Oryza sativa Japonica Group: one gene and its partners. The protein of the gene in region 3 interacts with the protein of the main gene of each other region in a pairwise test. Links are inferred from orthologs where the notes say so. Each region holds a gene or a part of one and is shown on either strand. Other genes may lie near its edges.

Region 1 (4,154 bases), on a different chromosome or scaffold from region 3:
TGTGCATGAAATGGAAAAGGAAAGGGACAGAAATAAACTCAAAGAGCAAAGGCACATAATTTTGGATTAATAGAGCTGTTATGTACACATCAAAATAGTTTCCTATCGCAGTAGTACTGAACTCCGTTGCCCATCCATTGAAAACAGTAAAACACTGACCAATATTAGATGAGCCACTTTCACCCATGAAGCAAAGGGCATAAGAAAAGCGAGTGGCGTTTTTCTTTTGTTTACAGAGTTCAAATGTTACAAACCGCTAGAACCATGCCAATTTGCCAATTACTCTTGCCGGTGTTCACAACTCAGACCATCTTAAAAACAAAATGTTTTTTTTTCTTGGAAAATTTTCCATGAAGCCTAATTTATAATCTTATCTCCTGCAAATATCTCATTTCCGACCCAACTCTCTTATTACATCAAAAAGGGGGTAAAAAAGCAACTGGAGAAGGTTACTTTGCTGACAGATCCAAGTGCTGCCAGTATACTACTCTCCTCAATGGCACTGCAGCAATACACACGACTCCACCCATAATCATAACCAACTCACCAGGAATCCCCTGCCATTGCACAGTGGAGCAATGGCACCATCCAGATAAATCTCTGTATTCAGCTTCAAACCATTTTGTGCCCACATAACTAATCATCAATTTGCCGGCTGTTCAGTTGCACCTCAAACCTAAGCCAAGATTCAGCCCGCATCTCTGTGAACATCAGATCATTCTCTGGGGCTGGATAATAGTCCTCCCGCAACTGCATGTCCCGCAAGTTTGGAATTGAAAGGAAGAAGGTCATGAAGTGCTCATGTGTGGTGCCATGGATGAAAAGCTTCCTGAGTCCAACGCAGCGTTGGATCAATCCCACGGCTGGCAATGTCAGGCTCCGGTGGTGCACATCCTTGTCTTGGGGCGGCCAGTAGTCCAATTCATACAAAGTCTGCAGTGATTCGATACCATGCAAATAAAATCGCTCCCATAGTGAAAGATCCATCTGCCCTGTTGGTGCAGTAAGTGCATAACCCACAGCTTCACTGAGGTCCAATTTCATCTTGGCTAATACTGGGAAGCCTGCAAGATCACTTAAGCCAAAAATTGTTCTTGGAGCAGGTCGTGGGCATGTCCGGCAATCACCCTCCACCTTAATTGAGATCTCCTCAAGCACGGGACAGCTATCGAGACCAGCAGAAATGAGCGGAGAGAGAAGCTGGCCAGCAGAGAACCATAGGGAGAGTGACCTGAGCATCTCCCAGCTTCCAAGATCATCAAATTCCATGTACCTACATTTCTTGGCTGCAGACTCGTACACTTCACCAAGCTCATCATCCTCAGGATCGCATTCGGTGGTGGTGCCATTTGCAACACTGCAGGGTTGTTCGGTTGTGTTCCAGACACAGTTGATCTCAAGACTTTCAATGCGATCACGGATCGGACTTAGAGCAGTGAGACATTCTGCAGTGTGCAGAAGCCGGCAGTGCAAGACAGTGACTTCCTTGAGAGTAGGCCGAAGCGTGAATGCAAGCCTCCTGATCCCAGCCGAAGTGACAAGGTCACAGCCATGGATGCCGAACTTAGCAAGCCTCCGGCACCCACGGCCAATTGCCGCAAGGCTGGCATCCGTGAGATCCTGGCAATTCTTCATGTAAAGTGACTCCAGCCCACCGCACACCGCAACACCATCAAGATGCAACCAAGAGGCCTTACACAGCCCCTGGAAGGAACCCAGGGTCAAGAACTTGATCCGCGGGCACCTTCGGGCAAGCGCCTCCATCGCGGGCGCGGCCTCCAGCACATTGTGCTGGAGATCCATGGTGAAATCCTCCAGCGCGGGGAGCGCCGCGAAGAAGGCGACTAGCCCCGCAACGGTGATGGCCGCCTCCTCCCTCTGGATGTTGGCCGCAGCCTCGAACGGCTCGCTGAGCCGCAAGACGGTCAGCCGCGGGCAGCTGGTGGCCAGCGAGAGCAGCGCGTCGTCGCCGACGCAATCGCTGAACCGTGGGTTGAACAAGCATGGCGCCACGAGCTTGCGGAGGTTGGGGCAGGAGGCCGCGATTGGCCCAAGCTCGGAGGATTTGAAGCCGTCGGTGGCGGCGGCGAGGCCGAGGTCGAGGTGGGTGAGCGCCGCGGTGGCGGAAGGGTGCGTGGTGAGCGCCCTCACGACGTCCTCGGTCCAGCAGTAGAACTCCGACAGGTCGAGCTCCCGGAGCGCGGCGCAGGTCTCCAGCAGCGGCTCGAGATCCGCGCCGTCGGGGAGGGTGGGCGGGCGCTGGTGCCAGCGCACGAGCTTGACGCGGCGGAGGGAGGCCTGCCAGTGCGGGGTGAGGTTGGCGAGCGTGGTGGGGTCGCGGCAGTAGACGGCGAGCGAGGTCACCGCCGGGAAGCAGCCCGCGAGGCGGGCGGCGATGAAGGCGTTCTGCTCGGAGATCGCCTCGGGGTGGTACACGTTCATCCCCGACGACGACGACGCCGAGGGCGCGCCGCCGCCGCCGCCGCCGCAGGGCGGCACGGAGGAGAGAAGCGGATGCCCCCACGGCGAGACGAGCGAGAGGTCGAGGTGTTCCAGCGCCGGGAAGCGGAACGCGTGCGAGAGGAACAGGAACCCCGGCGACCTCGGGTCGCCCCTCAGCGAGAGCTCCGACCTCGTCGCCCGCTCCGCCGCCCGCATCCTCCCGCACGCCAGCGCCGCCCTGTGCCGAGACCTCACGTCCGTCAGGAAGCTCAGGATGTGCAGCAGCAGCGGCTCCGGCAGGTCCAGTATCGCCGACGACGAGGACCTCCCCTCCTCCACCTCCTCCTCTTCCGCCATGGGCGACGTCTACTCCTCTCTCTCTCTCTCTCTCTCTCTCTTCTTTCTCTCTCTTGCTGCCGTTGAGGGATTTGGGGTGAAGCGAGTGGGGACGAGAAGCCACACAGCGAAGTGATATACTCGACAGCTCTCCCTTTTTTTTTTCCTTCTTTTTATTTTTTTGATAATTTTATCCTCTTATCCCCTTCGGATTAAATTATTTCGTCTCGTTTCGTTTCCACTTTTATAATTACACCCTCACCTTTTCCTTTTTTAACAGTACCCTCCGTTTCACAATACTCCATCCGTTCCATTTTAAGTGCAACTTTCCACGCTCAATTTGATCGTTCGTGTTATTTATTTTTTTTTATAATTAATATTTTTATTATTATGAGATGATAAAACATGAATAGTACTTTACTCGTGACTTATGATTTTAAATTTTTTTAAATAAAACGAAATCAAAGCTGGGCTCGGAAAACCATGGCTGCACTTGAAATGAGACGGAGGGAGTACAGGTTATTTCAGGTTACAAAAGTTTGACTATATTTATAGACAAATATAGTAATATTTATAATACTAAATTAGTTTAGCCAAATCAATAATTGAATATATTTTCATAATAAATTGTCTTGGGTTAAATATGTTACTATTTTTTTCTATAAACTTGGTTAAACTTTAAGTTGTTTGACTTTAAACGAAGGGAGTATTTGACTCTTTTTCTAAGTTAATGTTGGTTGATAAGATTATAAAAAATATAGTATGGTTTTTAACCCAAAACAAACACATTATTAAAACATATTCAATATAAGATTTAATAAAACCAATTTAATATTTTATATATTACTAAATCTTTTCTATAAATTTGATCAAACTTAATAAAATTTCACTAAAAAAATCATTCCATTTATAATATGAACCTGTATGAAACGGAGGAGTAATTAGTCATTATCATTATTATTACGAGCCGTATGCACGCGCTGCCTCGCTCTCGCCTCGGCTTCGGGTTCTTCGCGTCGATGAGCTCGTCGGCGGCGAGGGTGGGCGGCGGCGGCGGAAGGGACCCGAGCAATAACCCGGCGGTGGGGAGGCTGCGGGAGCTCGTGCAGCGCGGGGACGCGGCAGGTGAGGATGGATCGGGCTCTCCCCCTCGCTCTCTCTGTCTCTCTCTGGTGGTTGTTGGTTGGGGACTTGGGGGAGTTGGAATTGAGGAGAGGGGGGGGGGGGGGGGGGGTTTATAGGTTTGGGTCATGGTATCGCATGTGCGGGTGGTGGTGGGTGTGGGCGGATTGGATCATTGAGTTGGGGGCGAGTAGTTGGGGAAATTTGTTTGGCCTAGTGTTGAAGAGGAGGAAAAATGAGGCAGTAGAAAGGGA
Region 2 (4,056 bases), on a different chromosome or scaffold from region 3:
CGCTGCACTTTAAGCAACTCAGTTATGGCCTCCAGCAAGGCATGGCTTTTGGAACAGTGTTGGTTTCCAGCAAGGAAATATCCAGAAATGGAAAGATAGGGTCATTTTCCCCTTTTGGTTTGAAAGATAGGACCAATTGGGACATGACACTTGCACCATAATAAGCGAAGAAATGTGCAAAGCTATAGCATAGCAAATCTCACCAAATATATACATCGAAGGGCACTACCATGTTTCAGCACCTTTATCGCATAGCTGTTGCTTTTTGTTTTTCTTTTTTTCCCCTTTATCGCATAGCTGTTGAGTGGGCTGTTGGCATTAGCATGATAATATGTGGTTGGTACTATCCAGATGCTCTCTACTATTTGTGGTCGTGCTTGAATTAATGTTTTCAATCTGCATAAACACCTAAGGGAATGGAATTTAGTAGTACTAATTACATGGTACCAGAATCCACTAGGAGTCTATCTCAAACATACTCCCTTCGTCCCCAAATATAAGAAGTTTTAGAGTTGGACACGGTTATTAAGAAAGTAGGTAGAAGTGAATGGTGGAGGGTTGTGATAGGTTAGGAAGAGAATGTTGGTGGAAAAGTTGTTATATTTTGGGACAAATCTTGAGGGCTAAAAGTTGTTATATTTTGGGACAGAGGGAGTATTGTATTTTTGTACTACCTCCGTCCCAAAATAAGTGCAGCCGTGGATATCCGTGCCCAACGTTTGACCGTCTGTCTTATATTTGAAAAATTTGTGAAAAATTTGAAAATATTTAGTCACACATAAAGTACTATTCATGTTTTATCATCTAATAGTAATAAAAATACTAATCATAAAAAAATTTCAAATAAGACGAACGGTCAAACGTTGAACGTGAATAGTGCAAAACTACACTTATTTTGGGACGGAGGGAGTAGTATGTTACTATTTTTTTTCAAAAACGCAGGAGAACTGCGCTTCATTTCAGTAAGAAGAAATAAATATTTACAAAGGAGGGATCAACAAATCCCAAAACACATCACCCATGGGTGAGGCCCGACTAATATGTTACAATAACTGCTGCTCAAAATATCAAATAGGTTAAATTTGATGAGAACAGAAACTTATTTTCCACTCAAATCGTGGAATCATCCACGAATCCAGCTTCTGGCAAGTTTCTAGTGTTTTTCTTTTCAATTTAACTTTGTAAGCTTGGTCTAGCCTGAAGATTGGTGCTCCCTAAATTTTACTGCTTTCCTTCTCTTGTTACAAGGTCTTTTGTGGGCTCGTGTGTGTTTTGGCTGTGTGCATCCTAGTTATGCAAAGGCCAGAAGTTTTCTTAGTATGGTTCTATCAACTTGATGTAATCATCTGAGATTAGTAAAAAGCTTCCTTTATCAAAAAAAAAAATTGCAAGCTCTCAGTTCTTTTACACCTTGGAGTGTTGAAGAGTGTTAGTCCTTGTCTTGTTTTGGCAACAAATGGCTGCAAAACATTCTGGCATGTACATTACCTGCCTAGAACTGATTCCTCTAATCAGCTGATTCTAAAACCCAATCAAGAATGTATTGCCAATCTTGTTATCTTCTCTTGAGTGAAGCTCAATCTTGATATTATTTCAGCTCAGTATATTTTAGTGATAACGGAGAAGATCAATCTCAAACTAGAGGCAAAAGAATTCAATTATGTAGAGTAGGAGTAGCTAATCACATACAGCAGTACACCTTGCAAGTTGTCTGTCTTGACAATACAGCTATCTAATTTGAGATTTGGAGGTTCTATACAGCCAACGCCCCACCCGTCCATAGTTAAATCAAGGGTAAGTACCAATTGGAGATGCCTAGATTACCAGTAGCACGAAAGTTGTTAATTTGTCAGTAGAAATCAGGCACCCCTTTGAAGCAAGATCCCCTATTCTCACCCTGGCTGCAGTGAATTAAACGAGCCATAAGCCCCATGCTGATGGAGAGGCATCTACATAAGGAATCCTAGTCCAAGCGTCCAACCAATTCCCCCTGCGAGTCTCCAATTTCCCCCATGACGACAAGCCCCGCAAATCGACAGCTGATTCCTCTATGAAGACAAAAGCCGCCATCTGCCCCCAAAATCGACAAAAAATTTCCTCGTGACGTACCTCGGTACTAGTACCCATTCGGGGAGCTGTTTTTAGCCGAATTCATCACCACCAAAATTAAATTAAAGTCCAATACTCCTATTTATTCCCCAATCCATATAAGGGAGAGTAATAAAGAGTAGTATGAGATACTCGTATGCTGCTTGGTGAAGACGCAGTAGTAGAATAGAATAGTACCGAGGCGAGGCGGAGAGGAGGACGAGCTTGGAGAAGAGGTCGGGGCGGGAGATGGAGGCGATGGCGCCGATGACGGCGGAGACGGAGTGGCCGACGTAGATGCAGGAGGCGACGCGGAGCTCCTGGAGGATGGCGAGGAGGTCGAGCGCGTAGCCCTCGAGGGTGGCGTAGCGGGAGAAGTCGAAGTAGTCCGGGTTGGTCGGCCCCGCCCCCATGGTGTCGAAGAGCACCACGCGGTAGTCGGCCACCAGGTGCGGCACCAGGTGCTTCCACACCGACTGGTCCGTCCCGAACCCGTGCGCCAGCACGATCACCCCGCGCTTCCCCTCCCCCACCACCCGCAGGTTGTGCGCCTCCTCCACGATCCCCATAGCTTCCCTTCCTCCGATCCTCCTCACGCCCGGACAACACCTCTTCTTCCTCCTCCTCCTCCTCCTCGGCTCCTCGTGGTGGCGTTGCGACTCGCGACTCGGGACTGAGACAGCAGAGGCGGCGGGAGGCCGGGCGGCTGGCTGCCTTGGCTAGTGGGAAATCGGGTGGTGGGGGTTTTAAGGGCGGGGGGCGTTGGTGTGGACCGGAATCTGCCAACCGCAACGCTCTCGCCACGCGGGGTTCCACCCTCGCCTGTCGCTAAACGGTGGGTCCATACTAGCTCCTCGATGAGGGTGGGGCTGAACTTTTAAGTAACCATATTTCTCTCTGTTATTAATGAGGGTCGCGAGTCCGTAATATCTACCGCATGTGCCCTCCACGAGTATATTGAAATCGTATATCCAACTGCAAGCTTAACCCATGAGAGTATTTATTAATTAATTTATTTGTTTATCAAATGTTAAATAAATATTCCCACCCATCGAATAATTGACACTGTGACCACAAATTACGTTTAAATTATATAATGAATTAAAGTTTTATTGTTGTACTTATGACTCTACAACCTACTGCGATAATATAATATAAAGTATTTATAATTTTTTAAGGTCAGAATTTGGATTTGATTAGTGCCGGTTCTAATTAGAACAGAGGGGTATGGCAATTACTAGTATGCCTTTTACCATAAATAAATTTTTATGGAAGAAATTCTGTGGTGAACTTTCATAAGTTAATTTGTGTTTTCAGAACAAACTGAGATTTATTGTTAGTTTGTGGAGTATTAACTATTGCATCAAATCTTGCAATACGTAGGCTAGATTTTACTTTTACAATCATTTCTTGGAATATATATTTCGGACGAAACCGAGGAGCGGCCGGAGTGGAGAGCGATGCTGCGATGTCGGGGGAGGAGATGGCGACGTCAGCCAGTGCACCGGCGAGGAACAGTGGACGGCCAGAGGGTTCGGGATACTGGACACCGCTCCGGCTTTACGGTGTATTTGAGAGAAGAGGAAAGAAAGATTAAGAAGATACGTAACATGAGGCGAGATATTAGAGCATAATTAATTGAGTATTAATTATTTAAACTTAAAAATAGATTAATATGTTTTTAAAGCAACTTTGTTATAACTTATTTTTAAAAATGCACATGCTGTTTAGCCGTTTAGTAAGCGTGTGCTTGAAAAATGAGAGTATATCTTCTTTATCATTGAAACAAACGAAGCTATGATTAAGAGGATGATGTTATAAAAAATATCCTACTTTGATACTCCCTTCGATTTCATAATTCTTGACATTTTAAACACTGACATGGTCTTTAAAAATATCTTTCACCTTGTTTTTTTATTATAATATATCTTTACCTATTATAAAAATTTAAAATGTTTTTGCCTAGGG
Region 3 (3,982 bases):
GGAAGAAAGGTGACGCCAGCTTAGCACTTGTTGGTGCCTGGCAGAAAATATCACATCGAGAAGAACATGACAAAGGAAAAAAAAGAATAGAGAAGTAACAGCAGCCTTTAGCTCCATGAATGGGAACAAAAGAAGGCAGCAGGGGAAGAGCAGTGGAGGAGCTAATGAGGGACAGAGAAGCAACAGCAAGAGGGTGAGTTGCAGGGATGACAAAGATGGCGTTAGCGCTGTGGGAGGACAGGAGAACTGTCCTCCCTCTTGTAGGCTGTTTGGGCCTTGGAGGCTGCCTTCCCAGAATTTATTATTTCCCTTCTTTTCACCTTACCTCTCATCTTGCTCACTTGTGAGGTCGCATCCTCCTTACGTTGATTTTACTAGTAGATGGCTTAGCTTTGATTTTGCACACGTGTTCTAACATGCACCTTAAAGAAGTAAATCAGCCCAACTTCCAGATGGACATGTAAAATAAAACTCATCACAAATACAAATCAGCCCAACTTCCAGATGAACATGGGCCTGCAACACATGCTAACTTCAAGAAGTAAGACCTTCTACAACAAACTAATGCTTCAAGCAACTAAAATATCAATTGAATTACACAACAAAAGGTTCCTTTTCATGCATAGAAGTCTAGAACACATCCTTCTAGATTTCAGCAACTAACAGAATTTTGTAGAGCAGTAGAAGCAGAAAACAAACAATTGTGCTCGAGTGTAATAATAAGTCGTAACATAAACCTCCATTTATAACTATAGCTTCAAAACAACGGGGGCCATTAAATTCACTTGACCTCATGGTGCACCTAAGAACTTCGCTAAATATTAACAAAAAAGGGCCAGGACAAACATCACAGCGAATGCATCATTAAACAGTACATCCAACTAAGGACAAACAAGAAAAGGTGAAAGATGGACTCTTATAGTTCTTGTGTACATCACAAACAAACGTATAGCACAATTCCACATAGAAAATATGTTTTGCATCTACCTTACTGTGTCCTTATTTTCAAGATTGGGCAACAACCACCCGAAAGGCACTTAAAAAAGAGATATGCCTGAACAGAGGAGCATCAACAGTAGTAAAATAAAGCCCATCAGCTGAGAGATCCCCTTACAGGATTCTACTTGTACTCAAACGATGGTGGTGGTGTGCTAGGCACATCAAAAGTCTCTGGCATTTGTGGCTCCTTACAAGTCTCAGTCTTGTTGACTGGCATTGATCCAGCATCAGGTAATCTATTCATCATGATCCCAAAACTACTAACAAGGGCTAAGAGAACCGCGCCTTGCAGGGATGCACGAGCAACCGCACGTAAGCCCTGACGAGCAGCAAGAATGCCGCCGGTGGCCGCACCAGCAATGATGGAATTATAGGGGTCCTCCTTTTGACGCACAGAAACTAGGGCACAATCACAAGCTGAGAAGAGGCCACACCAAACAGCAAAGCCACCGGCAACACGTGGCGCATTCATCCGCACACCCTCCATGCCGCCAGCAAACCGTGCACCACTGGGCGAGTTGCGGAGACCCTTGACGAAGTGGAAGAAAGAACCTCCCACTGCACCCATGCCAAAAGACGCACCAATATCATCAAGGATGCGATCTGGGCATGGATCCCTTTCCATTGAAGGACGAGCCTGATGCATTGTAGTTAACCCGGATAGCTCCACCGGAGGAATCGATTGCTTGCTCGTCGACTCGTCGAGGACAAAGGAATCAATTGGAGAACGCGAGCGAACAACTCTCTAGGGCTCAAACCTACGCGCCGAAACACCAGAGAAGATATATAGCGCGACCAAATTGCTTCCTCGGATATAGGAAACTACTAACCTTCTTGCTGGACACGAGGTATAAATAAATAAATAAATAAATAAAAACAAATCAGAGACGGAACACGCGTATCCTTCCGCGGCACGAACACGAACTCCCTAAATCCGAGCCGAATCGAACAAAAATAAAGGAAACAAAACGCGAGGATATCGAATCGGATATGAATTGAAGATCGAAAACTTTCTTATGTCGCTCACCTTCTTCTTCACTTGTACTCGAAGGTTGGGATCGGAGTGCTCGGCGTGTCGAAGCTCTCCAACATCTCCGACTTGCCGCCGCTCGGGCTCGCCTTCTTCTCCTCCTCCTTCTTGCCGAACAGGCTCCCGAACCATCCACTCCCACCGCCGCTGGAGCTCGCGACCTCAGGTGGCGCCACGGGGACCTGCGGGATCCCGGGGATCCCGCCGCCGCCGCCCATGACGGCGGGGAGGTTGGGGTCATCGACGGGGAGCGGCGGGGGCGTGGCGAGGACGCGGTTGAGCATGAGGCCCGCGCCCTCGATGAGGGCGAGCAGCATCCCGCCCATGAGCGCGGAGCGGCCGGCGGCGCCGGGGCCCTGGCGCATGGAGAGGAAGCCGCCGGTGGCGGCGCCGGCGATGATGGAGTTCCAGGGGTCCTCCTTCTGGCGCATGAAGACCATGGTGCAGTCGAAGGCGGAGAAGAGGCCGCCCCACACCGCGAAGCTGCCGCCGACGCGGGGCGCGTTCATCCGCACCGCCTGCGCGCCGCCGACGAGGCGCTCGCCGTTGGGGGAGTTGTAGGTGCCCTTGAGGAAGTGGAAGAGGGAGCCCCCCACCGCGCCCATCCCGAACGCCCCGCCCACGTCGTCCAGGATCCGGTCCGGGCACGGCTCCCTCGACGTCTCCGGCGTCCCCATGGCAACTCCGGCTAGTCGGCGGCGGCGGCGGCGAAACCCTAGCTCGGGGAGGAGAAATGGGAGGAGGAGGGCTTCGTCAAAGCGAGCTTGGATTTCTCCTTCTCTCACTCTTCTCTCGTGTCTTTATTTATTCGGTGCGTGTCGGAGGCGGCTTCTCTCGCTGCGAGTGGGCCCCGATGATTGGTGGGGCCCACTGTCATAGACACGTTCCCGGTTCCCCGCGAGGTGGAGGCGGTGGTGCGGCCGAACGGTGGGAGATATTTTCGGCGGCCGGCGCGCGCGTGAGAGGCCTCTGGATGTAGGCCCAGGTACGGAATTCAGCCCAACTTCAGAGTTAGAGCGCTAATTTCAGCCCAAATAGAGAGCGAATAGCATCAGTTTCAGCCCAAGGTTGAGTGAGCGAGATTTGAGCCCACTAAGCTATGTAGGTGAAGCCCTACTGGATATCGATGTCTGAATCGTGCAAAGTGAAAACGGGAAATGCTGGATATCCATGATTCAATTAAAACTACTCAGATCTGAGTTGGAAGTGCCATGTGATCGATCATTACTTCACGGCATCACGGCGAGCTGGATGACCTGCCATATGACCAGCAAGCTTATCAAGTTATCATCCCATTTCAGAATGTTCCGACCTTGTTTAGTTCCTAATTTTTTTTCCCAAAAACATCTCATCGAATTTTTGAAGTATTACATATAGATAAAATGAAAAACTAATTGCACAGTTTGTATGGAAATCGCGAGACAAATCTTTTGAGCCTAATTAGTCCATAATTAGATATAAGTGCTACGGTAACCCGCATGTGCTAAAGACGGATTAATTAGGCTTAATAAAATCGTCTCGTGGTTTCCAAGTGAGTTATGAAATTATTTTTTTTTCATTCGTGTCCAAAAACCCCTTCCTACATCTGGTTAAACGTCTGATGTGACACTCAAAAATTTTCTTTTCGCTAACTAAACAAGGCCTCAAAACCGGAATTCACACCCACCCACAATCATCTCCTCCTAGAAACAATTCAGTCAGTCAGATTCACCGCGGTCAACTCATCACGTCAGTTAAAACCAGGCAAAATATCGCCTGCGACCTCGGGGTAATTTGGTGTAGCAAGTTATTAAGGGACACGTTATATTTGATATTATGCTTCAAGTACATGATTTAAACTCGACATAAATATGGGTAGCCTAAAATGAACTTATTCCTTTTAGGCGCGCGTGTGTTCATGCTCGCTGTTGGACTTGTAATCTGTCTGAACTCTGGATGCCCCCATGCTCAATT

Evidence for each region. The genes of interacting proteins can lie anywhere in the genome.
Region 1: the proteins of mitochondrial import inner membrane translocase subunit TIM17-2 (region 3) and F-box/LRR-repeat MAX2 homolog interact in binary tests that used the Arabidopsis thaliana proteins (3 or more experiments, as listed by UniProt). The link is inferred for Oryza sativa Japonica Group from reciprocal best matches to the Arabidopsis thaliana genes TIM17-2 and MAX2.
Region 2: the proteins of mitochondrial import inner membrane translocase subunit TIM17-2 (region 3) and probable esterase D14L interact in binary tests that used the Arabidopsis thaliana proteins (3 or more experiments, as listed by UniProt). The link is inferred for Oryza sativa Japonica Group from reciprocal best matches to the Arabidopsis thaliana genes TIM17-2 and KAI2.

The regions. Positions count from the first base shown.
Region 1 is NC_089040.1:2,939,694-2,943,847, reverse strand, and holds F-box/LRR-repeat MAX2 homolog, read right to left. Parts: upstream 2,810-4,154; 5' UTR 2,800-2,809; coding exon 637-2,799; 3' UTR 67-636; downstream 1-66. Other genes in the region: probable thiol methyltransferase 2, read left to right, coding at 3,750-3,903. UniProt on the Arabidopsis thaliana protein: Component of SCF(ASK-cullin-F-box) E3 ubiquitin ligase complexes, which may mediate the ubiquitination and subsequent proteasomal degradation of target proteins. Promotes the senescence. Is necessary for responses to strigolactones and karrikins.
Region 2 is NC_089037.1:18,910,948-18,915,003, forward strand, and holds the start of probable esterase D14L, read right to left. Parts: upstream 2,810-4,056; 5' UTR 2,658-2,809; coding exon 2,287-2,657; intron 1-2,286.
Region 3 is NC_089041.1:24,985,611-24,989,592, forward strand, and holds the start of mitochondrial import inner membrane translocase subunit TIM17-2, read right to left. Parts: upstream 2,809-3,982; 5' UTR 2,707-2,808; coding exon 2,035-2,706; 3' UTR 2,027-2,034; intron 1,625-2,026; coding exon of another isoform or gene 1,121-1,624; intron 1-1,120. Other genes in the region: mitochondrial import inner membrane translocase subunit TIM17-2, read right to left, coding at 1,121-1,624. UniProt on the Arabidopsis thaliana protein: Essential component of the TIM17:23 complex, a complex that mediates the translocation of transit peptide-containing proteins across the mitochondrial inner membrane. Links the inner and outer membranes.